4 linked regions of the Pelodiscus sinensis genome follow. The protein of the gene in region 4 interacts with the protein of the main gene of each other region in a biochemical or structural test. Links are inferred from orthologs where the notes say so. Each region holds a gene or a part of one and is shown on either strand. Other genes may lie near its edges. The genes, in order: NHERF1, MAGI2, DNAJA1 and PTEN.

The links.
Region 1: the proteins of PTEN (region 4) and NHERF1 form a complex in vitro, tested with the Homo sapiens proteins (3 studies listed by BioGRID and IntAct). The link is inferred for Pelodiscus sinensis from reciprocal best matches to the Homo sapiens genes PTEN and NHERF1.
Region 2: the proteins of PTEN (region 4) and MAGI2 form a complex in vitro, tested with the Homo sapiens proteins (2 studies listed by BioGRID and IntAct, with this or other methods). The link is inferred for Pelodiscus sinensis from reciprocal best matches to the Homo sapiens genes PTEN and MAGI2.
Region 3: the proteins of PTEN (region 4) and DNAJA1 form a complex in vitro, tested with the Homo sapiens proteins (2 studies listed by BioGRID). The link is inferred for Pelodiscus sinensis from reciprocal best matches to the Homo sapiens genes PTEN and DNAJA1.

Annotation. Positions count from the first base shown.
Region 1 is NC_134730.1:13,341,625-13,348,693, reverse strand, and holds the start of NHERF1 (Na(+)/H(+) exchange regulatory cofactor NHE-RF1), read left to right. Parts: upstream 1-4,057; 5' UTR 4,058-4,288; coding exon 4,289-4,759; intron 4,760-7,069. UniProt on the Homo sapiens protein: Scaffold protein that connects plasma membrane proteins with members of the ezrin/moesin/radixin family and thereby helps to link them to the actin cytoskeleton and to regulate their surface expression. Necessary for recycling of internalized ADRB2.
Region 2 is NC_134711.1:21,274,078-21,282,002, forward strand, and holds the start of MAGI2 (membrane-associated guanylate kinase, WW and PDZ domain-containing protein 2), read left to right. Parts: upstream 1-4,910; 5' UTR 4,911-5,259; coding exon 5,260-5,560; intron 5,561-7,925. UniProt on the Homo sapiens protein: Seems to act as a scaffold molecule at synaptic junctions by assembling neurotransmitter receptors and cell adhesion proteins. Plays a role in nerve growth factor (NGF)-induced recruitment of RAPGEF2 to late endosomes and neurite outgrowth.
Region 3 is NC_134716.1:16,792-24,660, forward strand, and holds the start of DNAJA1 (dnaJ homolog subfamily A member 1), read left to right. Parts: upstream 1-4,856; 5' UTR 4,857-5,009; intron 5,010-5,514; 5' UTR 5,515-5,523; coding exon 5,524-5,655; intron 5,656-5,737; coding exon 5,738-5,915; intron 5,916-6,406; coding exon 6,407-6,511; intron 6,512-7,869. Other genes in the region: APTX (aprataxin), read right to left, coding at 886-1,022, 2,752-2,873.
Region 4 is NC_134718.1:38,724,819-38,732,832, forward strand, and holds the start of PTEN (phosphatidylinositol 3,4,5-trisphosphate 3-phosphatase and dual-specificity protein phosphatase PTEN), read left to right. Parts: upstream 1-5,014; 5' UTR 5,015-5,157; coding exon 5,158-5,236; intron 5,237-8,014. UniProt on the Homo sapiens protein: Dual-specificity protein phosphatase, dephosphorylating tyrosine-, serine- and threonine-phosphorylated proteins.

The sequences.
Region 1 (7,069 bases), on a different chromosome or scaffold from region 4:
GTCCATTCTCTGGCAGTCGTAGCTTCTCTCTCTATTATCATGGGACTCCTTTGCCTCTTCTATTGTTCACGGTTTATTGTTTGCAAGTTACAGAATTAAATCTCAGTATTTTGGAGAGCAAATGTGTCCACCTAGTTCTTGGCCCAAGCAATTTCCAATTCTTTAGAGAAGAGAGAGGGTGTTGCTGGCTGGGTATCTGCAATGCAATATTTGCTGGGCATTAAATAAGTACAGCACAAGCCCTGGAATTTCTGGTGTGCGTCTGCCTAGCCCCTGTGACTTCACTGCACATTTCAGAAGTCCAAAGGTGATGGGGAAGAGTAAATATGGTCTGTTAAATTAAAACCAACCTCCTCCCCCTGCTGTTCTCATGGTACAGAGTCTAACATTCCCCAAATACCTTTGTCTTCCCACCAATGGAATTGCTTCTGTAGCTAAGCTGATGCTTGCAAAAAAGAGAGAGAGTTAGTTGGCTTTTTCTTTTAAATTCTTTTCGGTTTTGCATCCTAAATTTTGATCTTTCTTAACCTACTAAGCAGCTGCTGAAAAAAAAAACTCCACACTGACTGGGAGAAACCAGGAAGATTAAGATACTTGCAGCCAAATAAACATTAGGAAAGCTGTCACATTCTGCTTTATCATCAGTGCTCAAAGTTCCTGAACTGCGGGGTATGTGGTGTGTTTCTTTCCCTCCCTCTGGTGAATTTCACCTCCCTCCCTCTGTGCCTTTCTAAACCCTCCCCTGCCAGAACTGACTTGTATTTCATGGCTTATAAAAAGATTCCTGAAAAGCACATTTTTTGCTTGAAGAATTCCTTCAAATTGCACTACTTTTCAAGAAGCTGTCTGTCATGTTTGCAAAGCATGTGTTGTGGCTGGGTCTCATCTTTGGTAGCCTACTGGGACTGCTGAGTTACTCACCTAGCTATAAAGAAACTTAAAACTTTTTCTAGTTCCAGACTAACTCGGCTACCCTTCTCTAGCTATAGAGGTCCATTCTACAGGATCAACATCGTAGGTTTTAAACCCACCGCTGATAAACTTTAAAAAGGAGATAATTACCCATTGTGATTCCCAAGACTCCTTATAAGGCCTTTATTTCCACTCTGAAAAATACTCTTACTTCATAAAGGGCTCTCCTTAGAACTAAATTGGCTCTTTAGTCCTGTACCTGCCTTCTTGCAGTGAAATGCAAAGAAGATGGTCCACTTCCCTAAGGACATTGAGTTCATCCTGCTGGAATTGAAACTAGCAGTGATAGGGCACAGACAGGTCCGCATAAGTCCACTTTGCTGGATTTCCCAGTTGACATTGTCACTTTAGCTCTGTGTCTCTGTAATTCTGTTAAGCATAGTAATTGTATAAACCAGGGGTGGGGAACCTTTTTGGGACAGGAGCCACTAACCCACAGAAAAATCAATCGGGCTGCACAACTCCCCCCCCCCCCCCATTGACATGGCCCCTGACTGAGAAGACACCCACATTCCTCTCACACACCAGCGTTGGGGGTGGGAACAAGCCAAGTAGATTTTGTGTGCTCCAGCCCTGTAGTGGGGCCAGAGTGTCAGAACCAGCTCCCCAATGCAGGGGCCGGATTCAGGCAAGCCAGGGACTGCATCTCGCCATTCCCGATCTCTGGTATAAACCAACTGTAGGGGGCTTCATAAAAGCTTCCATCTATTCCACAGGAGCTTCTGTCCTTGCATTTTAAATTATGCTGAAGTTGTGGTAGTTTAGCAGACGACAGTGTTCATATATGATGGAAAAAGGGTCCCCAAAACTGACAAAAAACTAGTTTTAATTTGCATTTTAATTCCTTTAAGAAAACTGTTAGAGTTTTTTCTGCCTCTCTGTTTTAGCTCAGAGGGATTTTTGACCAGGCCTCAGAACAAAAGTAAAACCACCAGAGGTGCTCAGACTGTTCACTTTCACTTTTCGCTCTGCTGTTATACAGGGCAGGGCCTGGGGGTGGGATGAGGCATCACCAGAACAGGAAACCTGAGGGTGCACAACTGGTGTCAAATGCACAAAGTAAATGTATGGGAGGAGGGGGAATGTCTAATTTGACTCTTGTTTCAAGTGCTCATAGGGGTTACAAGCAATGTTCCCTGTAATCTTTTCCATCCCCATGCAGAGTTTTTTCCAGCCATGTGTGGAATAAATTTGTATGTGCACCACAGCGTGTATAAATGTGCACCATCAGGAGAAACACAAACCTAGCAGTGAGCGCTCTGCTTATCAGCTTAATGGCATTTGAATCTCTCCTGAGTGGCCACACAAGGGCCCAGCTTACTGGGAACACTGGTTACAAGTTACAATAGTAAGTGCAGCATTTTCAGATCTGAATGGCATTTTTTAAGTTGACTGTCCCTTCAAATGTTCTCTTTTAACATGTTAGACTCAATTAAATAGTGAGGATGCTGAGAAATGCTATGGTTCATCATTGCAAGATTTCTGCATTCTGTTACCTTCACAGTTAAGGAAAGAGTAAATGAAGTCTTATGGGGTATCATGTGCAAGGGACAGTCCATTGTAGATTCTTAAATGTATCCCCTGAATAATATAGTCTCAACAAAAAGCTGCTGCTCCCTTTTATCCTGCAAAATAAAACTGCTTTTATATTGAACAGTGTTATACTTAGTGTTTATCATAAAGATGATGCTGAGTTCTGTAAATGGCTCTCTCCTGATGCTGTTTGGAGTGGGTTTTACTTACACAGGCAGCACTAACCTCACACAGCTCTGCGGTTTCCACAAAGCCAAATTATGGATGAATAGACAAAGTCCAACTAGCAGAGTTGCAAAGGGAAATTCACGGGAACCTGATCTGGAATTTTGAGAAAGAGAGAAAAGTTCCCAGAACCTGCCCTGGCACCCATACAACCTTTACCAAAGGGGGGAAAGTCCCGTGATCTGTAAAGCTGTCAAACCACATGCAGAAACAGACTAGTGCCCTCTGCTATGACAGCACCAGCTCAGAGGCTATTCAGAGTCCATCTTCTCTCCCCAATTTTACTAAGGAATTTAGCATCTGATATGTCTCAACCCACATGATTCCTGTTGCTTTAGTAAATACACAATTCGATTGCTTCTGGTGGCCTAGATTCAGATCTGTTTTTTGTTACCCATTGTTCTCCTGTTCAAAAAATGCAGCCATCCAATCAGAGAGCAACCATGTGACCGAAGTGAAACCCCATCCTACACCCCGGAGAGTAATTAGTCAAAGACAGAATTAAAGCAGATCCCTCACGAACAGCCCATCAGCCTGAAAGCGGTTCACAGAAAGGGTGCTGTGAACTGGAGTAATGAATTGAATGGGTGAATAGGACCCAGCAGTTGTACCAGAGCGTTCTAAACCCGAAAGGATGGCTCTAATTGCAATTAATATGATTAGCAATCCCACCAGTTCCTAATGCGTGTAAAGCCCCAAACTACCAAGCTACTCGGTCACCGCCTTCAGTCCGATCGAGAGCCACTTGAACACAGCGCTGCTGGCAGACGCTCCTGGGAGAAAGGACTTGTCAGTTGCCAGTAAGCAGCTTGGGGTGTGTCATTGAGAAACAAGGATAAGTCAATGAGTCAACCCGCCCTCCCTTCATCACAGCAAGTCTTCCGGGACCAACATTCTGCCCCCCCGAGGAAGTCGCGGCAGCGCTCAGCTGGAGGCAGGCTGCAGGCTGGATGACTCAAGGCGCCCCACGCCTGCTTCTCTTAGACGCCTTGTCTCTGGGGGAACGAAGTGCCCCAGCCCTTCTGGAGAATCTTCGCTCTTGCGACTTCGGGCCACTTCTGCTTCCGGAGAGCTCAATTTGCACGCGGGAGGCTGAGCAGCCTGTCAAAAAACGTGGGGAAAGCGGAGGAGCGCGGGGGGGGGGGGGGGGGGGGAAGCGAGCCTCTTTCCTCTTATTTGCATAACCCCGCCTTCTCGAGGTTTGGATCCACTCTCGCACTTCACGAGCCGGGTCAGCGCCCCTCAGCTCCTCCCTCGCCTAACTCCGATTGGTCCGGCGTCACCTCCCAGCCCCCTCTTGCCCGCCCCCTGCTATAAAGGGCGGTGACAGGCGCTGAACTCAGACAGAGAGCGGGGCGGGGATTCGGGCGCTGCGCTGTGGTTGTCTCCCTGCTGGTGCGCGCTCTCTCCTCGGGCCAGACCCCGCCCCGGGGACACCTGCTGCCCGGAACCTCCCTGGGCTTTCCGGGTGTCTTCGCCCGGCGCTGGAGCGATCCGCCCGCGTCCTAGCGGGGCTGCGGCGGGCTCCTCTGATCCCTTTCCCCGCTCCCCCGGGAAGATGAGTGACGGGGCAGGGAGCGAGCAGCAGCTGCTGCCCCGGCTCTGCTGCCTGGAGAAGGGGCCGAACGGCTACGGCTTCCACTTGCACGGGGAGAAGGGCAAGGTGGGCCAGTTCATCCGGCTGGTGGAGCCCAACTCCCCGGCCCAGGCGGCGGGGCTGCGGGCCGGGGACCGGCTGGTGGAGGTGAACGGCGAGAACGTGGAGAAGGAAAGTCACCAGCAGGTAGTGAACCGCATCCGATCCGCCGTGGGCGCCGTGCGCCTGCTGGTGGTGGACGCGGAGACCGACCAGCAGCTGCAGAAGCTGGGCATCCAGTGCCGCGAGGAGCTGGTCCGGGGGCTGCCCGCCGCGGGGCAGGAGAAGCCGGAGGAGAAAAGTAACGAGGAGCCGCTGGAGACACCGAAGGAGCAGGAGGAGCGGCCAGAGGAGGAGGAGGAGGAGACGAGCCACCCTGCGGCGAGGGTAAATGTAGGTTCTTTCTGGGGAGGAGGGCGAGCCTTGGGGTCTAAGGGCGAACTGGAGCGGGAGAAGTAAAGGAGGCGGGAGACCGCCACGGTGCTCTGTGTGTGTGTGTGTGTGTGTGTGTGTGTGTGTGTGTGTGTGAATTAGGCAGAAGGGTGAAGAGTTCGTGCAGGTTGGGGCTAGGAGGGACAGGTTCTCAAGTAGCTCGAACTTTAACTGAAGTGCCCCTTTTAAAGAAAGGCCAACTTTGAAATCTAGCCTGTTAAGTAATAAGAATCTCAAGCATTCCATTGGCCCATGAAGCACTCTTCCTGTTGCTTTTTTACAAGCACACTTTCCAGTCTTTTCTTAAAAGTTTTGGGAAAGCAGTGGTAGACATGAAAATGAAGGGCAAATGAGAAAAAACAATAATGGAAGCAGAAGAATCCAGGCTACATACCATCCTCGAGGCTTAAACGTCTCTCTCCTGCTGCCACATGATAGAGGCAAACGGGAAACTGAAAGTCACTATTCAAAGTTCGTGGGAGTATTCAGGGGTCCTGGTCCTTGACTGGGTCCCCTCTTGTGCGAGGTGCTGCACAAAGTAAACAAGTGTGTGTGGGGGGCCGGGAAGGGGGGTGTTAAACTTTCCCTAGCTCACTTTTTTCATAGAAGGGTAAGGCTTTTGTTTGCCCCTCTTAAGCATCTTCTCTTGCCAGTAACCACTAGGACTGCATGGTGCCATGTTGCTGTAGTTGGGATATTTGAAATAAGATTACTTTTCAACAGAATCCACTTTCCTCTCAAGCATTGCAGTGAAAGTGGTGTAATTACTCTTACAGATATGGATGAGAGTCATGGTCGAACAACGCAAGGACTATTGCCTTCTCGGTGCTCATAGGACACTAATGCCACCCTTGCGTGCATGTATGGATGTGAAACTGAATGCTTCTCCTGCTTGTTAGAATTGTGTAGCTCTTAGTTGGTGGGGAGGCAAAAGAGATCAGCATCTCTGTTATGATGAGATGGGTTATTTGTCCAGGGCCCTCTAACTAGATCCTCAGGCATCCCAAAGTTAATTCAAATTTCTGTGGGCTTAGAGTCCTAGATTAGGGTTGAAAGACCTATAGAAGATCATCTAGTCCAACCCCAACTAAATGAATGTCGTAGGTTGTCATAGATCAGAAAGAACCAGTAGCTGGTGGCTAATTAGGAGGTGGGGAGCTAGTAGAGCTGCATTATCCTCTTTTAAATCTCGCTCGTTCTTTTTTGCTGTGATATGGTGGGTTTTTTTTTTTTTCCTTTTAAAAAAGGTGCAACCCCTCCCAAAAACCCTTGACAGTGGTCAGGCTGCTGGTGTGCTCTGACCAGTTTTTCATACTGACCGGTATCTTGTTTTGTTCGCTGCTCTATCCAATTAAAGATTGTAGTAAATTCTTCAGGGCAGGGATTCTGTCATTCTGCAGTGTCCTGAACAATGGGAGCTGGACCTCTCGGTGCTACTGACAGAAAACGATTAAAAACTAAATAAAAGGGATGGGGAACTTTGATTCATGCTGACTTAAGTCTTGGGTAAATGTGGAGGGGGAGAAGGGACTCTGGAACTGAGACTCAGCATCCTTTACTTACTTGGGGTAGTTACTAATAGAGGCTCTGCCTTCATGACCTAATGAATATTTATTTATATAATCAAAAATATGTACCTTGTTGTGAAGACTTCATGTTTTCACCCATCGGTGGTCCTCAAAGCTGAGTTCTCTTACTTAGGAAGGGAGAGATGAAAAATCTGAACTCTTGAAAGAAGCAGGGTCACTCCTTTATGATCAGCATAAACTTTCCATGTATACAATTCTGTAGCTGCCATAGTGGGTGCATTATTCATCAGAGCTTAAGGGTGAGAGGTGAGCCTGAAGAAGAGAACTGAAGGCTTAATTATCAAACAAAGATGTAAATAGGCCAAAATGGCTCAAAGTGAGAGTTTGAACTCTCAATAGAACGGTGTTGGTCCGATGTCCCAAAGAAGCTCCACTCCCCAACTTCAGTAAATTGAAGTCTCAGGTGCAAACACTATTTTTCTGAGTTCCAGCTCTGAACCTCTAATGCTCTAAAGCCTGGTTTTTTTTTTTTTTTGGGGGGGGGGGGTCACCTATCAGTTTGTGTTAATACAAGAAAACAACCTGTAGCGGGGGTAGGATCTAGAGAGGTGCTGTGAACTTTAGACTTGGACTCTGTAAAAGAGCAATCCCAATTACAGGCAGGGTGTTAGCTGGTGTGAGGAGGAGGAGCAGGGTGCCCTTAAGGAGATAAGTGAGGACAATGGATGGACTTTGGTGTCTG
Region 2 (7,925 bases), on a different chromosome or scaffold from region 4:
ATGTATCCTCGGAGACCCAAGATTTCTCCAAGTAGAAAAGGTTACAAGTTTGGATCCCAGGGGAGACCAAACCACCTGCAGAGAGGCCTCAAATCTCTACACTAACTGGCTGTGTCTAGACTGGCAAGTTTTTCCGCAAAAGCAGCTGCTTTTGCGGAAAAACTTGCCAGCTGTCTACACTGGCCACTTGAATTTCCGCAAGAACACTGATGATCTCATGTACGGAATCAGTGCTTTTTGCGGAAATACTATGCTGCTCCCGTTCGGGCAAAAGGGCCAGTGTAGACAGCTGAGATTTGTTTTGCGCAAAAAAGCCCTGATCGCGAAAATGGCAATCTGGGCTTTTTTGTGCAAAAGTGCTTTTGCGGAAAAGCATCCGTGCCAATCTAGATGCTCTTTTCCGAAAATGCTTTTAACGAAAAACTTTTCCATTAAAAGCATTTCCGGAAAATCATGCCAGTCTAGACGTAACCACTGTGTTTGGAATTGATCCTTACCTCTCTAGTCCCTGATGGGGCAACTTCGTTGAATCTGCTACCCAGCCTGCAATTGCTCCTGGAACTGTTAAAGAGGGCTGTGGAAAGATAATACATCCCCAAGTGTGCTTCTACCCTGATCTTCACAGGCCCAGTATGGGGACAATATGTACCCCACTTGGCATGATCCCCAACATACACACTGTTCACTCCTTCCCCTCATGCACATCTTTATGCCCTCACTATACACACGACATTGCTGGAAAACAGGATTCATCTGTGGAAAAAGCTCTCTGCATGTGGAGCAAAGGACACTGTTGGGCACTTACAAAGGCAAAGTTAATCCAATTACCCCAAACCCCAATCCCACTCCACTCTGTTCTGGGATACGGCTTCTGGACAAGCCCTATCTGTTTTACAACTATAGCAGGATAAATCAAAGTGATACAAATCTAAAGGAGTTACAAATTACTATCTCAAACAGATTCATACTGCTAGCAATATATTTAAAATGGAACCTACAGACTCTTTTAATAGACAGGAGAGGGATATGTAGCACAATAGTTTGCTACAGTTAATGTCAGCTTGATTTTAACTAATTCTGGAAATCTTAAATAACCCCAATGATTAAAGCTAAATTAATCTTGGGGCCTATTGATGGGGAAATATAATGCAGTCCTCTTCCCCACCTCTGACAAATATGTTTTAAGTTAATAACAGATACAAGCTATTATTCCAGGGAAACTTCTAGTAAGCCAGAGCACTGGCAGGTGTCAGAGCTCTCTCTCTCTCTGTGTGTGTGTGTTCTGGTGAATATTAGGTTATTTATAAATTGAATCTTTATTATCTGTAGCTCATGACTGCTGTTCCCATATTAACAGGGTGACCGCATTTTCTTAATGAAAAAATTAGGACACTTTTTATAGGGCTGAGGCTTTCAGTGAAGATATATGTAAGATTTTGGAAGCTCAAGGTGGGTCAAAAGGATGAGGCTTCTTACTCCCTATTCTCAGCTATTTACATGCTTTCTCTTTTTTCACAACTAGAAAGCAAAACAATAGAGTGGTGGGTCAGGGGGAAAAGCCATTCACCCTTTTACTGCTATTTTATGTTTTTATTTTAATTTTTCTATGGTTCTTTTCTCTTTCCTTTTCCTTTGGCCCCAAACCTGCAAACTGCCCCATGTGAGTGGATTCCTTCACCCACACAGAATCCCTCTGAAGTCCATATTAAACAGCTTGTAGGATCAAGGTCTTTGTTCTTTGCTTGTTGTACCACTGTACCCTTCCACGGGTACCCATTTAATTTGCACCCATGTGCTAGTGCAATAGAGATAGTCAAAAAACAACACATTTCTGTGAAAAATTTCATTGACAAATAGTGCCATTTTTTCCATTAACATTTCAAAAACATTTTACAACTTCTAAACTACAGTAATCTCTTCCACGCATACTATATCCCACCCTTCATTCATTCTGCATCCAATTCACATGTACCTGCATTCATATCCTCATCATTCTTCCATTCTGCACATGCACATAGTACACCCATGTAGATGAGGTGAGAGGAAATCTCTTGCCTTTTAAAGGCTAGGTCAACCAACGTTTCAGCTAAAGTATGGAGTTTTCCCTGTCCATGTTTGGTCAGTCTTTACTTAGTAGGGAAATCCATTTCTTTAGGAAGTGAGACATTCATACATTTGTCTATAAAGCCCAGGGGTGGATGCATTTCTTCATTTTCATGCTAGAAAATTCTACATCTGAGTGTGGGGGAAGTACAGATCAGAGGGTGTTAAAGCAGCAAAACTTAAGCAGTGAGGGTCAGCTCAATGTGAGGCAAGGATAGCATGGTGTTGAACAGCTGGAGTGCTTGGAATCAGGGAGCACTGGGCAGCCTGGATAATCCAGAAAGTTGTGGCAAGGAGTGTGAAGGTTGAGGGCTGACAGGTAACAGAGAGGGCAGGGTCCCACAAACCATTCACTCATCTATCCTGCTGATGTTCCCTATTCTTCTCAAACTTGCACTTGTCCCATACTCTCTTCACCAGGCAAAGTCCACCTGAACTTTGATGGGGGTGGAACCTCCCTTTCCCCTGGCATCATGGTAACCAGGCTTAGAAAACTTGTTCTATGGCAATAGTATCCAATAAACTGTAAGTTTGGGAGTCACTAAACCTAGAGGCACTACAGGGTTCTGTGTAAATTCAGAGCAGTTATGACTAAACATATTAATGGGGCCTCAAGATTCATAGCTGTCACGTTCGTCTTGCCACCATTTGAAGCTTGCTCAAGCCAAGAACATCTAATTTCATAACTACATATTCCAAATCCATTTACTGATTTTTCAAAGCATCCAATTCACTATTTTAGATGGATTTATAGCTCCTCTATAGCATAGTGTCTTAGCATCTCAAAGTCTTTAATATGCTATTCCTCAAGCTAAATTGGGAAGTGCTGTTAACCTGTTTTAACTCCCCAGAGGTATCTAATGGTACGTCTACACTACATGGCTCTGTCGACAGAGCCATGTAGATTTGTTTATTGGGCAAAGGGAAATGAAGCAGCAATTTAAATAATCGCTGCTTCATTTAAATTTAAATGGCTGCCGCGCTGAGCCAACAAACAGCTGATCAGCTGTTTGTCGGCTCAGCGCACTAGTCTGGACTCTCTGCGGTTGACATCAAAGCCCTTTGTCGACCGCCCCGGTAAACCTCATCCCACGAGGAATAACGGGGTGGTCGACAAAGGGCTTTGATGTCAACCGCGGAGCGTTCAGACTAGCGCGCTGAGCCGACAAACAGCTGATCAGCTATTTCTAATTCTGCATCCAATTCACATGTACCTGCATTCATATCCTCATCATATCCTGATCAGCTGTTTGTCAGTTCAGCGCGGCAGCCATTTAAATTTAAATGAAGCGGCGATTATTTAAATCGCCGCTTAATTTCCCTTTGCCTACAACCCTAATCTATATGGTTCCATTGATGGAGCCATGTAGTCTAGACACAGCCTAAGTGCCTAACATCCACTGATTTATGCACCTAAATAACTCTGAGGATCTGGACCTCAGTGACTTGCCCCCTCACACAGGAATCTGTGGCAGAGCAGAGAGATGAAGCCAGGTCTCCAGAAATCAAATGCTACCATCCTAATAACTGGATCACCCTTCCTGGCCCCACCACATTATTCCCATGTTTTGCTTTAAGGGACTGAGCTGAATTGACTCAATGGTAGAGACCTGTGTGGACACAAAATGTGAATCTGTATCCATATCTGCAAAAATGATCCGCAGATATCTGCATCAATATCCACGGATATGGATATCCACAGATATAAAGTGGGTATCTGCAAATGTGCAAGATATCCACACACAATTTATATCTGCATCCGCCAACATTAGCTGTGGATATCTACATCCATATCTGCAGATTTGCAGATACCCACTTTATATTTGTGGATATCCATATCCGTGGATATTGATGCAGATCTCTGCGGATCATTTTTGCTCTATCAATGGGTGACTAGGAGCAAGAGGATAGGCAGGGAATGTAGGTAAAGGCAGGATGCAGGAGAGGATTTCTTCACTTTCTCCTTCCTGTTCCACCATTGTTGCTTGTAGCATAGGCCCACAAAGGGGCCAGGCACTTGGCAGCAACAGAAGCCACATTCCCTGCCCTGGGGAACTCCCAATGTAACCTGGCAAACAAGGAGCAGTGACTGGCAGTCACAGGCAGCAGGAGGGAGTGGAAGCTAGGCAGCTCTGAGGCTGCAGTTGCTTATGGCTGTGATGCCCCTGTGCCCACAGAGACCCCTCAGCAGGGGTGGGAGTGGAATTGGGGCCAGGCAGGGAGCGGCTCTGGGGTGATATGGGCACTGGGCAGTAGGGAATGGGGCTGGAGGTCAGCGCTGCTGTACCCAGGTGCTCCGGGGTCGGATGAGCGGCCGGGCGCTGGGTCGAGGCCAGGGGGCGCTAGGGGTGCAGAGGGAGCCGGGAGGGAGGTGGGTGCCGTGGCTACGCGCTGCACTGGGCAGCCGTGCCGCAGAGCGGGCAGGCCTGGTCCGGGACCCGCGGGGGGTCGGAGCTTCAGCGATGGGATCCCGGCTGGCGGGGCCCGTCCCGCTCCATCCCTCCCGGGCTGCAAAGGGGAGGGCCCCCCGCGCTGTCACCCGCTCGCTCCCTGCCCGCCCGCTGCAGGGGTTGCTGCCCTTTCCCCGTCCGCGGCTCGGCCGGGCGCCAGGCCGGGTGGGGAGGCTGCAGCTCCCGGGGCCTCCCTTTCCTCCCCACCCAGCCCGGCTGCTCTCCGCCTTCTCCCCGCCGTGCCAGCCAGCCTCTCTCTGGGTCTTCACTACCGGGTCAGGCTGGAGGCGAGCGTGATCAGACACCCCCCTCCCCCAGCACACACAGTCCTGCTCCTCCCCCTCCTCCTCTCCGGGCCGTCTCCATCCCTCCCTCCCTCCCCGCCCGCTCCCCTCCCTCCTTCCCCGCTGCCACTTACTGTACAACTAGTGCACACACACACTCGCACTCCCAGGGTCCCGGCTGCCGCAGCTGCCATGGCCATCCGCTAAACACACCCAGACTGACAGCCAGGCACGGGCAGAGTCACCCCCACTCCCCACCTCTCCATCCTCCTCGCCGCCCGGCGGCCACGGCCCCTGCGGTGCCTTGCAGCCGGCCGGGAGCCGCCGCAGCCCCGGACCCAGCCCCCCGCCCCAAAAAGGAGCCAGGCTCCGGACCAGCACCCAGCACGCCGGGGAGACTCCGCCAGCCCATCCCCACTGCAATGTCCAAGGGCTTGAAAAAGAAAAGCCACTGGACGAGCAGAGTCCACGAGATTGTCCTAGGCAGGAACCAAGAGGGGCAGCTGGGCTTTGAGCTGAAAGGGGGAGCGGAGAACGGGCAGTTCCCGTACCTGGGGGAGGTGAAGCCCGGCAAGGTGGCCTATGAGAGCGGCAGCAAGTTGGTGCCGGAGGAGCTGCTGCTGGAGGTGAACGAGACCCCCGTGGCCGGGCTCACCATCAGGGATGTGCTGGCCGTGATCAAGCACTGCAAGGACCCCATCCGGCTCAAGTGTGTCAAGCAAGGTAAGGGCCAGCTGCCGCGTGCCTGCTGCGCCTCGGCGGGCGGGCCAGGGGCGGACCGGACGGGGTGACAAGGAGCCGGGGCGCAGCGGGGACAGCGCCTGGGAAGGGCGCAGCCCGGGAGTGGCGAGGAGATGGGGTGCCGTGGGGGAGGGGAGACAGCCCGCAGACCCCGCCGCGGGGCGTGTAACTTTGTTCCGGCACTTTGACACCCCCCCTTTCTGGGCAGGGTCCAGCACCTGGCCCCGGGGAGGCTGCGAGGGGCAGCGGCGCCCTGTGTGCTTGGAGGAATTAAATGTGCGTCAGTGACAGGCTGCCGCGGTTGCAGGGGGCGGGAGGCGGCCAAACTTTGCTAGGGCCGGGCCGGGGCGCACAGGCACCCCCTGAGGTGCTGCAGGCAGAGCCGGGGCCAGGGGTGGGGAGCTTGGGATCCCGGGTCAGGCAAGCAGCTCGCGGCGCCTCCAACACGCATAGGGAGCCGCAGCACTGAGAGGGAGGCGAGGAGCCAAACCTTGTGACAGGCGTTGAGGAGCATTAGCATCGAGTAACGCTGTGGCCATGCAGGGCACCACGCTGCGCCGCGTAGCCAGAAGGAGCAATAGGGCTTTGGCCGTCCCTAGCGTAGTCTTTCATATCTAGAGAAAGTGGCCTGGAGGCTGGCTTTGGGAGCTGGTACCCTTGGCTCCGCTTGACACTGGGCGTGTTCCCCTGGAGGTAGTGACTTGCTGCTGCTTGGCAGGTCCCTGACACCTTAGGGCGGCTTTAGCTTCCGTACAGTATCATTGTAGGAAAAATCCTCCACTTTATCTCCGATGAAAACAATCGCCTGGTGCTGGGGAAAGGGGATTTCATATCCTGACACCAGAGAGGAAAGGGTGCTCGCTGCAGGAGCCGGAGGGAAGTTAGAGGACAGAACCATAAACTTTAACTGGTCATCTGTTTCCCCTTTAAAAAAAATAAATATATATAAGTCCTGGAGTAGTTTAACAGAATTCCAGGAAAGTGAATATGATTAAAGATACTAGATTTTCCGTGTAACCCCTTTCTGCCCTTTCAACTAAATTGGCAGGTAGGGGAGGGTAACAGAAGGTTTGGAACAGTTTTCTGACACTCAGAGAAGTGGTGGCAGAGCAGAACAGTTGTAAACTCCAGTGACAACCACATTCATAAGTGGTGCCTTGATAATGATGATGCAGTGGTTGATTGTGTGTGTGGGGGGGGAGAAAGGAGACTAAGGCATTTCAGGCTCAGCCATAGGAATCCAGTTAATACTGCGGTGGAAATAAGTTCAGTGCCAGTATTCTATCTCCAAAAAAGGCAACCTTGGTACAGATTGGGGGGCAAAATGGACAGCTGTGTCAGCTGCCCCAGATTCTTCCTTAGTATAATTTTGTAGTTGAGTTTCATCATTTTAGTGGATGGCCTGTTATTCATGGTGGTTTTCAATGAGATTTCAATGAGATTCAATTTCAATGAGATTCAAATGCTTGAAAAATATTATTGGCCTGATCCAAAGCTCCCTAAAATCAGTGGGAAGATTCTGTTTGACTTTGAGTTAGTCTCCATAAGGATATTACTGTGTGTTCAATTGTTTACAGTGAGGTCACATCTCCAAACAACTGACATAACCTGGTATTTATACACTGTATATTAAGCTGGCATATTGGTAAATTCAGAGTACAGCAGTGTATTGTAAGTCACATTTTGAAGGACAGAAGTCAAGGAGACATAATAGTTGATGCAACAAGTAAAGATGAGAAAGGGAAAAGACTTAAAGCAATTCTACGTTGTTGTACTGGGTCACCTTTGGGCTCTGTGCTCCATGAAACCTGCTATAGTGTTTCAGCTTCTAAATAAATGTAAAAGGTCTCAGAGAGGTAGCCATGTTAGTCTGTATCTGCAAAAACAATGAAGAGTCCTGTGGTACCTTAGGGTGCTTCTGCACTGCACCGTAGCTCAAAATAAGATACGCAATTTGAACTACGCAAAGTGCGTATCTTATTTCACTCTTATTTCAAAATAGCTTAAACAGTGCCAATAGTCTATACAGTGCCAAATTTCAAAATAATCGGCTATTCTGAAATGTTCCTTACTCCTCATGGAATGAGGTTTATAGGGACGTTGGAATAGCAAGCCTGTTATATCTGGAAATAACGGGCTTGCTGTGAAGACACAGAATAGCTATTTCAGGATACTCCAGTATCCTGAAATAATGTTGTAGTGTAGATGTAGTCTTAGACACTAACAGATTTATCAGGGCATAAGCTTTCGTGGGTAAAACCCACATCATCAGATGACTGGGAGTGGAAATTACAGAGGTAGGGGTATATATAAGAACAACACAAGAAGTTACTTGTAAAGTGTCTGA
Region 3 (7,869 bases), on a different chromosome or scaffold from region 4:
TTCTCCTCCAAGGAGTTCAGTCACAAACATAATGAACACATTTTTTTAAATGGGCATCATCAACAGGGAAGCATGTCCTCTGGAATAGTAACCAAAGCATGAAGGGGCATACAAATGTTTAGCATAACTAGTTCTTAAATACCTTGCAATGCCAGCTACAACAGCAACATCTAGGGCTCATCTACACTACCCTAGAGTGTCGAAAGAGGATATGCAAATTCCATGGGAATTTGCATATCATTTTCCGATCTCACTTTTGAAAGCAGAGCTTTCAAAAGTGAAAGTAGTTTAAACATGGCTTTTTCGGCGGCTCCCTCCCTTTTTTCGAAAAGCCGATCTTCCTCAATAAATGAGGAAAATGTCTTTCAGGTGACATCGTAAATAAGAAGCAGGCAGCATTACTCCCTATAAACATAAACAAACTTGTCTTAGCAGTTGGGTGAACAAGAAGCAGGACTGAATGAACTTGCAGTCTTTCGCTGTTTTGTTTTTGAGTACTGTTATGTAACAACAACAACAAAAATCTCCATTTGTAAATTGCCCTTTCATGCTATAGAGATTACAAGAACTGCGGTACATCAATGTGCATTGAAAAATACTATTTTTATAGTGCAAATATTTGTAAACCAAAGTAATATAAAGTGAGCATTTTACACTATTTTTGCTGTGACTGAAGTCAATATATTTGAAAACACAGAAAAACGTCAAAACTATTTAATAAATTTCTATTGGCGTTCTATTGTTTAGCAGTGGGATTAAAACTGCATTTTATCATGATTTTTGAGTTAGTCACAAGTCAATTGCCATTAATTGTCAGCCCTAGTTTTTTAACTACTTAGCTGTTTTCAAACTAGCAGTTGTGTGTACACTGAAGCTATTACTTACCCTGTTGCCTTGAACATTTCTTGTCTGTTATTTCGGTCTCTGGGCCACGCCCTATTACTGTTGTTTCTAAGTGTGGCAATTTGATTCGCTGACAGCATTTATCTTTCCTCACTAGCCAGCACACCCGCATGATTGCACTGTGAAATAAATAAGAGGACATAGACAGGATTACAATCAGATAGGGATCAAGATCCCGTGGCTGACTACAGGATTGGGCATCAGAAGTTCTTGTTTCTATTGCCAGTCCACTAATTGGCTGCATGACGTTGGCTAATTTGCTTAACGTTGCTGTGACTTATTATCCTTCTCTACAAAATGGTACTAATAAGAGATATTTCAAGGCCTTATTTAATTATCTATGTAGTGGTTTGATAGCATCTCCCACAGAAAGATGCTGAAATGCAAAATATTTACTATTATACACACCAAGTTTACATTATTCAGTACATATTTGTTTATCATGTTGAGCGATACCCATATTTCTCCAATCAGCTGATACAACATTAGGCTGCCTATATATATTGTTTTTATAGACACATCACATTCATTTTTAGATTTGCCACTGTGGCCACTTCTGTAAGTTCCAATAGCAAGTTTTATTCAGTAGGATTTTACTACACTATATATCACTTGTCCACCATAACCCCTACCTCCTTTTCAGAAAAATTGCCTTCTAGGATATAGTACACCATTCTACAGGGATAGCCTATATTTTTTGTTCCTAGATGTATACCGTCACATTTGGCTGCATTAAATGTTTTGTTTTAATGGACACAGCTTATCCAATGGTCCAGATGTTTCTGTATGAAAAACCTAGCCTTAGCATCATTTACTACTTTGCCAATATTGGTGTCATCTTCATATGTTACTAGCAGTGATTTTACATTTATTGGCAGAACAATGACAAAAGTATGCAATGGGATTGGTCCTAGTACTGATTCCTATAGAACACCATTTATTTCAGCAGTAAAAACACAGCTATATGGTGCACTGGGCTATTGTGTATGTTACTTAGGGATATTAAAATGCATTTATTTGTGTAAATGTGTATCCGCTGAAATTTTCAGCAGAATTTTTTTCAAGTTTGGGAGGAAGAGGGAGGTGGTGCTCGTGGGGAGCTGGCTTTTCAGCTCACTCATTGCAAGTGCCAGCTCCTGTTCCCTCCCTCCTGCTGCCTCTGTTATAGGGATGGGGGGGAAGAGAGAGAGGGGAGCCGCTTGACAGGAACCAATATGCGAAGGGAGCTGGCGTCAAAGCTGGTTCTCTGCATGCATCGGCTCCCATCTGCTCAGGAGCCAAGATGTGTGGAGATCTGGATTCCCATACATACCGGCTCCAGCCTGCTCCCCTACCCCCACACTGCTGCCTCTGCCACTGCAGAGCAGGCATGCGCACAGAGCTGTCTTAAAAGCTGGATCTCCCCACATACCAGCTCCTGCTTGCTCTGTGGGAGGCAGCAGCACGGGCAGGAGCAGGGAGCTCAGCAGCAGCTGATATGCCCCAATAGGCACCATTTCCCACCTCTCCCACTTTTTGCTGCCTCTGATACAGAGATAGCAAGGGGAGGGGGAAGTATGTAGTTGTTAAGATTAACCGATAAGCCCAGGCCTATCGGTTATTCATGTAGATGACTACCCACTAACATCCGTAATGTTAATTTTGTTCTCTGCCACACAACACGAGACAGCAGCAGCATGGCTGCTTCCAAGTTATACTTTTAGTTTTACCAGTAAAACCTTCCAGGGGGACATTTACACCTTTACTGGCTTAATTTATGACATTAAGCTAAACTGACAAAACCCATCCTTATGCTAGAATGAGTCTGTGCAATCTAGGGATGTGACAGGTGGCCAGTTAACCAGTTACCTGGTAAGCATCACCCTTGCTGCATGATGCATACTGATGAACCAGTACCAGGGAGCAGCCGCCTTCTCACAGCTGGCACCGCTGTACAGAGAGAAGGAGGGAGGAAGAGCCAGCCGCTCCATTTGGGAAGGCGCAGTAAAAGCAGAAGTCAGTTCCCCTGTGCTTAGGACTACTAGTGGATCCAAGTTAATGAGTTAACTGGTAAAACCTAAGGTTTAACTGATTAACCGTGAGTTTACATCCCTAGTGTCAACAGGAGAAGTTATAAAAGGATAACTATGCCAGTTTAAATTCACACCATAACTTAAACTGTTATAGCTTACCAATGTAAGAAACATTTTTTAAAGCAGACTTAGTGATTCAGTGAAATTGGTGCAAACTTTTGCCTGGGCACTTCCAATGTGTTCTGACTGAAACGTGTTCCTTTTCAGTTTAACCTAGACTATATAACTTATAACTATGCCAAAGAAAGTGACAGAGTTGACCCATACAATGAAGGCCTTAATTAGAATGGTAATAGAAATGTAGCCGTGTTAGTCTGGGGTAGCTGAAGCAAAATGCAGGACTATGTAGCACTTGAAAGACTAACAAGATGGTTCAATAGGTGATGAGCTTTTGTGGGCCAGACCCACTTCCTCAGATCAAATAGTGGAAGAAAATAGTCACAACCATATATACCAAAGGATACAATTAATGCAAGTTTCTTCACCCCTCGCCCCGACACTGCCTGCCCGCCCCCTCCTCTCCCTCACCTGCCCCCCTCACCCCCGCCCCCTCCCTCGCCTGCTCCCCTCACCCCCGGCACTGCCCGCCCCCTACTCTCCCTCGCCTGCCCCCCTCACCCCCGGCACTGCCCCGCCCTCACCTGCTCCTCTCACCCCCGCCCCTCCTCTCCCTCGCCTGGCCCCCTCATCCCCACCCCCTTCTCTCCCTCACCTGCACCCCTCGCTCTGGCACTGCCCCCCTCTCCCTCACCTGCCCCCCCTCCCTCAACTGCCCCCCTCACCCGCGGCACTGCCCCCCCTCTCCTTCACCTGCCCCCCCTCCCTCGCCTGCCCCCCTCACCTGCCCCCCTCCCTCCCTCGCCTGCCCCCCTCACCCCCGGCACTGCCCCCCCTCACCTGCCCCCCTCCCTCCCTCGCCTGCCCCCCTCACCTGCCCCCCTCCCTCCCTCGCCTGCCCCCCTCACCCCCGGCACTGCCCCCCCTCACCTGCCCCCCTCCCTCCCTCGCCTGCCCCCCTCACCTGCCCCCCTCCCTCCCTCGCCTGCCCCCCTCACCCCCGGCACTGCCCCCCCTCCCTCCCTCCCTCGCCTGCCCCCCTCACCCCCGGCACTGCCCCCCCTCGCCTGCTCCCCTCCCTCCCTCCCTCGCCTGCCCCCCTCACCCCCGGCACTGCCCCCCCTCGCCTGCCCCCCTCCCTCCCTCCCTCCCTCGCCTGCCCCCCTCACCCCCGGCACTGCCCCCCCTCGCCTGCCCCCCTCCCTCCCTCCCTCGCCTGCCCCCCTCACCCCCGGCACTGCCCCCCCTCCCTCCCTCACCTGCCCCCCTCACCCCCGGCACTGCCCCCCCTCCCTCCCTCGCCTGCCCCCCTCACCCCCGGCACTGCCCCCCCTCCCTCGCCTGCCCCCCTCACCCCCGGCACTGCCCCCCCCTCGGCGCCCCGCGGGCAGGGCCAGTCACCGTCTCGCTGCCAGCGTCACACGCCTGCGTCCGCCCCACCAATCAGATCCGGGCCACGGCGCATCCCAGAAGTTGTGCGCAGGCGCTTTCGGAAGCCCCGTCCCTCGCTGGAGGGCGGGCAGAGCCAGCAGCAGCGGGCGGGGGGGAGGGGGTCACGTGATACGCCCTCGCCTTGCCGCGCGCGCTGCCTGCGGGCTGGGAGTGTTCACAGGAAACAGGCCCTGGCGCGCGCTCCGCCGCGTGCCACTCACAACCCCGCCCGACACCGGCTGCTGGGGCGCGTCCCGCTGTGTCCCGCCCCTACACCCAGCGCTCCACTGCACGCGCACAGCTTGGGGCTCGCACGGCATGCTGGGGGTTGTAGTCCCGGGAGCCAAGCCAAAGATTGGCTCTCCTCCGCCTGGCCCGTCCCCATCCTTGATTCGGCCGGGAAACCGAGGGGGCGGGACTTCCGGGGTGGAGCTTCTGCGGCTACAAAAGTCCCCGGAAGGAGCGACCGGCTCATAGAGAACTTTCCAGAAGGGTCTCGAGCGGCCGAAGCAGCTGAGAAGCCCGGAGCTCGCCAAGCCCTGCCCGGTGAGTGGGGCCGGCCCCCGCTGCCGCCTTTTCTCCCCCCCCCCCCCCGCGCCGGCCGCTGCCCCTCCCCCCCCGGTCTCGCTGCCCCCCGCCGGCCGCTACCCCCCCTCTCCCCCGGTCTCGCTGCCTCTGCCCCTCTCCCGCCCCCCCCCCGCGCTGCCGCTGCCCCCCTCCGCTCCCCCCCGGTCTCGGTGCCCCCTCCCCCCGCGCCGGTCGCTGCCCCCTCCCCCCCGTCTCGCTGCCTCTGCCCCTCTCCCGCCCCCCTCCCCCCGCGCCGGTCGCTGCTCCCCTGCCCCCCCCCCAGTCTCGCTGCCCCTCTCCCGCCCCCCCCCCCGCGCCGGCCGCTGCCCCTCCCCCCCCCCCGTCTCGCTGCCTCTGCCCCTCTCCCGCCCCCCTCCCCCCCGGTCTCGCTGCCTCGCCCCCCCCCCCCCGCCGGCCGCTGCCCCCGTTCCCCCAGCCCGGGCCCGAGGGGCGGCCGGTGTTGGCTGACGGCGGGCTCCCGCAGGCCGGCGCCATGGTGAAGGAGACGACGTACTACGACGTGCTGGGGGTGAAGCCGGGCGCCACGCAGGAGGAGCTGAAGAAGGCCTATCGCAAGCTGGCGCTCAAGTACCACCCCGACAAGAACCCCAACGAGGGCGAGAAGGCAAGTGGGGCCGGGCTCGCCGGGCACTGGCCCGGGGCTACCTCGTCCCCACGCCCAGCACTTACTCTGGTGTTTCTTGCAGTTCAAGCAGATCTCGCAAGCATACGAAGTGCTTTCTGATCCAAAGAAGAGAGACTTGTATGACAAAGGTGGTGAGCAGGCTATTAAAGAGGGTGGTACTGGCAGCAGTTTTGGGTCACCCATGGATATTTTTGATATGTTCTTTGGAGGAGGTGGAAGAATGCAGAGAGAGCGCAGAGGTAATTTCACTTTCTCTGGTACTGCCTAAGGGACTCTTTGCTGCTGAAGTATTTTCTTGTTAGTCACACATCCTGTAGTACCTAGTATAAGGCTATAGATACTTATGTGTTTAAGCTGCACCTTTTTACAAATAAGGCTTTTCATGCTATGTAGCAGTGTCTAAAATGATCATTACAATGATAAAACAATATCTAAAAAGGCACTGTTCTAAAACCAATGTTTTAAATGCTAGCATAGAGGAGATTAAGTTTTTAAATAAAAAGCTGTTTTAGTTAATATTCTATAACCAGGCATAGGGTTAAGGTTTGATTTTTGTGCCCTCTTTGCAGATGGTAATGAGCCGGGCTCTCAAATATTGGAAAAAAGTTTGCAGTATCTTTAAGCAAAGACCTTAGTACTAAGCTTTGCTTAATTAGTCACTGAAAAGGATTGACATATTGTAATTCTAAGTTAATTACTATTTTAAAATAAGACCATATTCTCTTTACAGGTAAAAATGTTGTTCATCAGTTGTCAGTATCTTTGGAAGACTTGTACAATGGTGCAACAAGAAAACTGGCTCTGCAAAAGAATGTGATCTGTGATAAATGTGAAGGTATGTTAATCAGTCTCTGTGGGATAGGCATGTTACAATCTAACTTTAATAAAAAGTAGTCCTTACTATAGTAATTCCTCACTTAATGTGTGTCCGCTTAACACATTTTTGCGATAGCACAATTTTGGGAACATTTTTGAAGTACATGACCGTTCCCAGAATAACACTATTTCCCCAGCCGGCCTGTTGCCAGTGGCTGCGCAGGGCTTCCCCATCTTCCTGCAAAGCGGAGGAGGGTTCACTGCTCGCTGCGCCATTCCCGCTGACTACCCCTCGCTGGACGCCTTGCGCCCCCCCCCCTCCCCCCCCGCGCTGCTTGCAGGCTGGCAGTTAGGGGTTTCCCCAGCTGGCCTATCACTGGTGGCTGCGCAGGGCTTCCCCCGCCTCCTTGCAAAGTGGCAGAGGGTTCGCAGCTTACTGTGCCATTCCCCGGCACCCCCCTCCCCCCCGCACTGCAGTGCACGTCCCAGCAGACCCAGCACAGGGGCATACTTCCAACCCAGTCCCCTTCTCCTCTCCTCTTCCCCAGAGCCAAACACCTCCCCCTCCCTGCTGTAACCCAGTCCCCTTTCTCCCCAACCTTATATCCCGGACCCAACAGACACCACTGCTTGAACCGCAACCCCCACCTTTTCCATTATTTTCAATGGGAAAATTGACCCCACATAACACATTTTCACTTAACACCATCATTTTTTGAAACATATCTATAGTGTTAAATGAGGAATCACTGTATAGATATATATGCTAGTCTATCATGCGCTTTCGTGAACAAAACCCACTTCAGCCCATGACTGCTCATTTTAGAGATACATCAGGGCCTGATGAAATGTATCGTAGAATACTCAAAGAGCTGATAGAGGCGGTATCTGACCCTCTAGCTATCACCTTTGGAAAAACATGGGAGACAGGAGAGATTCCAGAAAAGGGAGTGACTTGAGCGTAGGGATTTCCCTGTGCGGATTGGCCCCGGGGTTTGGCCTGGGGAGGCACCCGTGGGGGTTTGGCCCCGCTGCAAGAGAGGCGGCTTGGCCCCGGGGAAGGCGCCCACAGGGTTTGGCCGCACCGTGGGAGAGGGGGTTTGGCCCCAGGGCAGGCACGCGTGGGGTTTCCCTGTGCCGCAGGGGGTGCGGGAGTCAGGCCTGGAGGAGGAATGTGCTGGCTTCCCTCTGCGGGGGGGGGGGGGGGGGGGGGGGAATCCTGGGAGGAGGCAGATGGAGGGGACTCTGCTGCCACTGGCACCCTGTCTCCTGTCTGTGCTCCCCAGACCCTACTCCCCTGTCCCCAGCTACAAAACTCTGTCCCCATTCCCATCCCCAGCTACAGAATTCTGTCCCCACTGGCACCCTGTCCCCAGC
Region 4 (8,014 bases):
AATTGTGGATCCTGATCCACAAGGGAGTTGCAAGGGTATCACAAAGTTTTTTAGGGGGTGATCACAGTATTGCCACCTGTTGGCTACGTCTACACTGCTTCTTTCTTGTGCAAAAGCCTATGCAAATGAAGCATGGATTAGCATATTGCCATGCTTCTTTTGCATAATTAATTAGGAGCTGTTTTTGTGCAAGAGGTTTTTGTGCAAAAAGGAGCCATTTACACAGGAAGAACAGCTCTTGCACAAGCAGTGTTTTTTGTGCAAAAAAGCTCTGTGTAGACAGCTCCTTTTTGCACAAAAATCTCTTGTGCAAAACCAGCTCCTAATTATGCAAATGAAGCATGACAATATGCTAATCCGTGCTTCATTTGCATAGGCTTTTGCACAAGAAGGAAGCAGTCTAGACGTAGCCTTTCTTTGCTCCCTTCAGAGCTGGGCAGCCCAAAAGTGGCAACTGTTGGCCCAAGTACCCAGCTCCGAAGGCATTGCCCCACCACCTGAAACACAGAAGTAAGGATGGCAATATCATCTTACTTCTGCACTGTTGCTGTCAGAACTAGGTGGCTGGAAAGTGGCATCTGCTGACTGATGTCCCAGCTCCTCAGGCATCAGTGAAGAAGAGGGGATGGCAATATCATACCATGCCATCCTTATTCCTGTCTTGAGAGCTAGGCTTCCAGCCAGCACCTGCCTCTCTGCAGCAACCCAGCTGTGAAGGCAGCACCGCGTTATCAGCACAAGAGTAGCAGTACAACAGTCCCGTTCCCCCCCCCCCCCCCCCGCCCCGCCATAACTTTGTGGTCCTCACTCACTACTCTTTTTTTGGGTCAGGATCACGACAATTATAACACCATGAAGTTTCAGATTTAAGTAGCCACCTGTTGGCTACGTCTACACTGCTTCCTTCTTGTGCAAAAATGATTTACATTTTTCAAAATCTCATGACCATGAAGTTGACCAGAATGGGCCATGAATTTGGCAGGATCTATATATACGCTTTTCATGACATTAATTTCATGACTAATTTTCATAAAATCACAATTCAGAAGTGATATGGACAGAACCCCCAAGTCTTCTCATATGGCAAGTAATTGCCCATTCATAATCTACACACTGCACTCTGTCTCTGATGCTCTTTAACTACATATATAGTGGGAATGATGCAAAAATGAGAAGTGCAACTGGGTTGGGCATGGAAGAGATGAGGAAGAAATAGTTGGTGAATTGCAGTTGTTGATGTACTACTATTGTGCCCTGCTCTCTGTTCCTCCTGTCAGGATGAACTGACTCCTCTGGGACCTATGAGGCTGCAGGGGGCAGTAGGTGCCCATATACTAGCTCAGAAACTACAGCTGTCCTAGAGGTGATTCTTTAGAAAAATCAAACTAATGAATTGACATGACATGTTATACAAGTATTGCGAAAACATAGAAAAGCACTTTATCAGAAGTAGATATAACACATTGTTTGGTGGTTTATTTTCATATTACATTTCTCAGTAAAAATCAGGTTTTTATACAGATTTCATATTATAGTCACCTTTATTCTCATGCACAAGTTTTTAATTGCTATTGTTTGAAGCCTTTAATCATTTATGATACTTAATATCTCCTTCTTTACTCCTATTTTAGATAATAGAGTAGGAAAATACTTCAACTGCATTCTCTTTTCTGTTATGCTGATTGCATAATCATTCCAATGGGGTTGTGTTTCCATTTCTTGTTAGTTAACATTGTATATGTGGGGCGAGTATGCCTTATCTTTATGTAAATCTACATAGCAAGGTATCTGTTATGGGTATATGGTCCTGCTGCTTGTGGTTATTTTTACTCTTGCTTCCACTACCTATCATGCTGGTACGTCTTGTTTTAATGTTTTTAGCATCACTCTCTTAGGCTACATCTACACTGTGTACCTTAGAGCAGCACAGCTGTGCAATTACAGCCATACCATTGCTTCAGAGGGGTAGCCAAGTTAGTCTGTAATAGGAGAAACTTAAAAAAATAGTATGGTAGCACTTTAAAGACTAACAAAACATATAGATGGTATCATGAGCATAGCCCACTTCTTCAGATGACCACCATACCATTGTAAGGTATGCAACACAGTCCTTTGCTGGCAGGACAGAGCTCTCCTGCTGGCAAAAGAAAACCACCTCAATGAGGGACAGTAGCTTTGGTGGTAGGAGATGCTCTCCTGCTGACAGAGTGCTGGCCATAGTGGAACTTTCTGTAATTAAGATTATTTTTTTTGTCAGTTGGCATGTGTATGTTTCACACCCCTGACTAGCAGAAGTTTTATTGACAAAAGCGCAGTGCAGCCTGAATATCTAGGATCCTAACATAGCCTTAGCTGCAGGCTGGGTGCGAGAAGTGGGTGTGACAGACAGCAACTGAAGCTCTGATTTTTTTTTTGCAGAAAGATTCTGGCTGACTTACAAATGTTTCCTGTGCATAGGTAACAGGTGGTGCCATAACCCATGCCACAGACTGATCACACTCACTCACCCTAACTAGAAGTGACAACTCTGTTTCACAAATTCAGAAACTGTTTTCCTTCTGTATTTCCATAAAAACAGAATTGTATTGGAGGAAGGAGGTAGCATCAGTCTCCCTCTAGCTTGGTGCTTAAAGTACTGGTCTGGACTGTATGGCTATGGCTATATCTAGACTACAAGCCTCTTTCGAAAGACAGCATCTGGAGTACAAGCAGATTTTTCGAAAAAGCGAGCCACTTTTTTGAATTAGAGTCTAGACGCTCTTTTGAAAAAGCAGTTTGCCGTCAATAGTGTCTTTTTTAGAAACAGTACTTTCAAAAAAAGGCATTATTCCTTGTAAAATGAGGTTTACCATGATCAAAAAAACTGCTGTGTTTTTTATTTAGTTTCAAAAGAATGCAGCTGCAGTCTAGAGGCAGGTAAAGGTTTTTTGAAAAAAGGCTACTTATTTCCAAAAAACTCTGTAGTCTAGACACACCCTATGAGACCCTCACCCCCAATTACCTGCTGTGCTTGATTTAGAGCAAGGACCTGAACCTCCCCCACATCCCAGCTATGTAACCTAATCCACCCACCTGTAGATTCTCTGCCCAGGACCCAAAAACTTTTCAAATAAAAATTTAATGCAAACAAACACATTGCTATTAAAATTTTAATCTTAGTCAAAACAGTGTATTTTGCCAAACCATTTCAACCAACATCACTTCAGTTATTCCTAATATTACATGGTTTAATACAAATTATCTGCCAACCGCATCTGATTCTTTCTTCTCTTACACCTGATGCAGCCCCAGGACCACTACATTCAGGGATTGCTTTATTCCATGCAGCCAGCCATCCTTCAAGTTTTCCTATATAAACACTTCTCTTCTCTGGAATAACTTTCCTACCTGGGAGGATGATGCCCTCATATATTTTCAGTCTCTACATGGTGTTCCCAGCAACCAAGTGCTGCAGCATCTGCATCTAAAGCAGAATTCCAGGGACACTGATGACATCATCAGTATTTTTACAGTTTTGAAGAGCCATTCTCTTCTCCATTCCAATTACCTCTTCACCTTGACCTTGTTCCTCATCTTCTCCATCACCCTCCCCCTTCCTCTTTACCTTATCTCCATTCATTAAAAAACCCTAACCACCTTCCTTACAAAATAAAACGAATGGGCATGCCATTCGGTGTTCCTGCAGTGTTCACTGGGGGTCGGCACCATATCCATTCTCCAGCGCTTAGTCCGATCTGTCAGGTTCATTCAGATTCTTGGGCCAGGCCCGGTTTGCTCTACGTGAACAGCATTTACTACAGTGGAGCTCGGCTTCTCAGCTGCTCCCTAACGCTAGGATCATACCGCCAGCCACAGAAGCTGCCTGCAGTGCTAGCTCCGCACTGGACACAGCACCTTGCCTCGTTCCCGGGGGCTAGGAAGAAATGCGGCGGGCAGGTACCCAGATCACGCTGCACCTACCCCACCGCGGGGGCCCACGCGTCCCGGATCTGCCCAAACCCCGCAGATCTACGCGCCCGAGAGAAGCCCATCAGCGGCCAGGCTCCCGCTCCCGATCGAACGCGAGTTGTGCTCCGCCAGGGGGGGTGAAGTGGGAAGCGCCGGCGCAGGCAGAAAAGGGCCCCAACCAGCCCCACGTGACTCCACAGGGAAGTAGCTCCGACGCGGTCGTAACGTGAATTTATCCTTCCGCCACCCTGTGGCCGGGTCGCCGTTGGCACGCCGGGACGGCTCTTCCACTTCCCTCATCACGACCGCCGCGTTTTCCCGGGGTGCAGGAGCGAGCCGAGGAGCGGGCGGTGCCGCGGATGGGAGGAGTGGTGGTAACAGCGGCAGCGGGACGCTGATGTGGCGGGACTATTTCGCCTTAGCGGCGGAGGAGGCGGGGGGCGGAGCCAGGCCCCTCTCCTCTCGGAAGCTGCAGCCATGATGGAAGTTTGAGGCGCTCAGTGTCGCTGGGGCGCGGAGGAGGCCGGGGCCGATGAGAGCGGGCAGCCTGCAGCCCCGCACGCACCGCAGCGCCTGAGCCCGCGCGGTCTCGCTCCTCGGTGTGAGGCGCCTCCGGACGCGCCGCCTTCTCCCGCGAGGCCGGGAGCGCCCGCCCGGCTGCGCGGCCCCATCGCGCGGGCTCCGCCGCCGCCCCGGGCGGGGAGCTGAGCTGAGCGGGACGGGGGGGCCCGAGTCGCTGTCACCATTTCTGGGGCCCGGCGCGCTGGAGAGTTCCCCTCTCCGCCTCCATCGCCTCAAAGACGGCGGCGGCGGCGGCGGCACACTCAGGGACCTGGGCCGACTCTAAACCCTTCCGCCGCCGCCGCCGCGGCTCCGGCGCCGCTCTGGGCAGCTGGGGAAGGAGGGAGCCGCCGCCGCCGCCGGGAGCCGCCGCCGCTGCAGGGGGAGGAGGGTTCGCCGCTTCCCCCATCTTCAGCCGCCGCTTGCGGGCCTGGGGCTGAGCCGCAGAGGCAGGCCCTGTCCACGGTGCCATCCAGCAGCAGCAGCCATTACCCGGCCGCCGTCCAGAGCCCAGCGGCCGCCGCTGCAGCGGGGAGTGGGAAACCAGTCACAGCCGAGCTTAGGGCCATCTGCAGCCCGCCGCTGCAGAAGCCGTCGCAGCTGCCGAGCCTGTCCTCGCTATTCCTGAGTAGCCCCCGGCTCCCAGACATGACCGCCATCATCAAAGAGATCGTCAGCAGGAACAAAAGGAGATATCAGGAGGATGGCTTCGACTTAGATCTAACCTGTATCCTCGCCCGGCCCGCGCTAGCGTTTGGCTCGCCGTTTCTCTGGGTGCCTTGATCATCTCCCCAGCGACCTGTAGTGTTAATGCTGAGCAGGGATGTGTGTCTGTTTCTCCCCCCCCCGCTCTTCTCCAGGGCTGCCATATTCCTGACTGAATTTGCTGTTCTCTCCAGTGCAGCCAGAGCCCAGTTGGGCAGGCTGAGCGCTCGGCCTAGGCCCAGCACCCGGGATAGAGATGAGATTAAAATGGAAATGAATGCTGCACGTACAGCAATTGCATCAGATTCTTACAGTAATTATGTAGTGTGCCTGCTCGTGTTTTTTGTGTATTTGTGTTCGGCATAATTATTTTGAGCACTATCAGATTTAAAAAGTCAGATGTGCGGCTAGGTTTCTGCAGTTACTGTAATTGGAAGTTGGTCAGTTTTTAGCAACCATATTGCTTTGTTTCATGAAACTAAAGCATTATGTTGTAGAAAAAGCAACATCCTAGGTCGGTTGTTGTCTGTCTTCCAGTTGATTGATGTAGATTGGGGTATGAACATTACCTGCTTGATAGTTGTTGTTTTAGATTCTATTATGTAGTTCAGAATAGAGGTTGAATAGTTATTTGGTCAGTAATTATGATGTCATGCAGATTGAGTATTATCTGTAGTAAATGGTGATTGCAAAGATTAACAGTAGTACTCGTTTGAAATCAAAGCATTCTAGTAGGACCTGTATTGACACTTTTGCTTTAGGTGTCATGTACTAGATACAGTGATGTCATTGCTCATGTTCAGCATAATGCCATTTAAAATAGAGCCTCTTACCTTGATGTTTGATTTTTAGCTCAAATATAAAATGTAATCATTCTACTGTACTGCAAATAGTGATGCCTTTTTCAATTAGTAATTCAGCATTTCGAATTGGAAACATAATTTTAGTGGGCATGTGACTTATCTGCTATTTTCTTGTTCTTTGCATAAATAGATACAAAATATGTGTTGTGCAGTGAATGAAGCATACTTTTCCAGTTTTTAACTAAAACATACGTTGTATATAAATGACAAGAATGTAAGAAAATAACTATTAATTTAAAAATTGCGTCTCTTTAAAGAACACCAGTTTCTTCACTCAACCATATTTTACACTGGTAGACTTTGTGTGCATTGACTTACCCATGGATTAGGACATTTCACAAACAAAAATAGTGGATGAGGTTCCTTTTTTTCTGCTGTCCGATATGTTTTGGGAACTCTTGAGAAATGTAGTGTTCGGGGACATGTAATCTAGCTGCATTAGGATTAGCAAGTCAAACCATGGAGCATTAAAAGGAACTGCATAGCCTTTGAACAGATGTACTATAGCAGCAACAGCAGACAGATGTCTGGCTTTGAATATGTGCTGCAAAGTTAATGGTATATAAGATTGTATTGTAACAGATTAAACTATCAGAATTAAGTTCTGTTACTTGTCACAGATACTATTAACTAAACGTAGAATTTGTTATTTATGAAGTAGTTTTAGTGCTTAAGTAATGAATATGGTATTCATTTTCAGAAGGAGGTTCTGATTTAGAATGGTTTTACAGTAGGGTTAAGATCAGCTTATTGCTCTTCTGACTGTGAGCAGAATTGCATCACAGGTACTGGATTTCTGTATGGAGAGAGAAAAGTGCCTGTAGTACAGAATATCTACTGTTACATTGATTTGGGACTCAAACTAAATATTTGAAGACTTAAATGTGTGATCCCATGAAGTGACCATTTAGCTTTTTTTTAATTACCTGCTGCTTAGTAAAATATTTCGGTTTTAGTAAATATTTTTTCTTTCATTGGGAACATATTGATCAATTAATGGGTTGCTATTTCAGAATTTCATTTTAGTTCTTTAAACTTTTTTGTTTTTCTGTGATGTGTATAGTAATACATACCTGCATTTTCAAGTTAGTATTATAAAACCTGCAAGATTGATATCTGCTCTGAAATATAGCTTACAGACTTTAGTTTATTTGCTACACTAAATGATGTACTTACTGATTTCTTCTATAATGCTGGTAAACACGGAAAACCAATAGCAAGAAACCTAATTTCATACTTCCCAGTTCTAGGGTTTGTTTGTAAAATACTTTGTCATAATGGCATACTGTAACAAAGCAGAATTTCATTTTAGCAGAATTTCATTTTAACTATTCATCTGCACATATATCTATCTATTTTTTACTTGCCAAGAAGAATCTTGTAATTTAGTTAGTGATTTTACTCATCAAGCTCAGAGTTTTGAAGAATACATTAGGTATAGTTACAAAATGTATTTTCTTTTCTGACTTAATAAATAGTTCTATGAACTCTTTCCTTTTTAGATTTACCTTGGAGGACATAACAAATTAAACTAGAAATTGGCTATTTAAGCTCATAGAAAGATTGGTTTTAGCAATAGTTCAGATTAAATGAAATAATATCAAAGTAATATGAAATATTTTCCCATAAGATTCTATATTTTCTGTAGACTATTTTGAACAATGGAAGAAGGCTCTATGTAGTAAATAAGCCCTAATTGAAAGTATTGGTGAGCATTTGGGTTTTATAACTTTTTGTGAATCCTGCACAGGGAGACCTTTGACAAAGTTGTTAATGGGTAGTTAGTTTTGTCTAATGCCTCAAAAGTTATACTGTTTTCTCCTTTACATGAATTAGGAATTAAGTTAAATCTGCAGACTAACCTTGGTTAATCTTCAGGATGTAAATGGTTAACTGGTAACCCTCACCCTTAATGGGTATGGCTTACTGATTCTGGT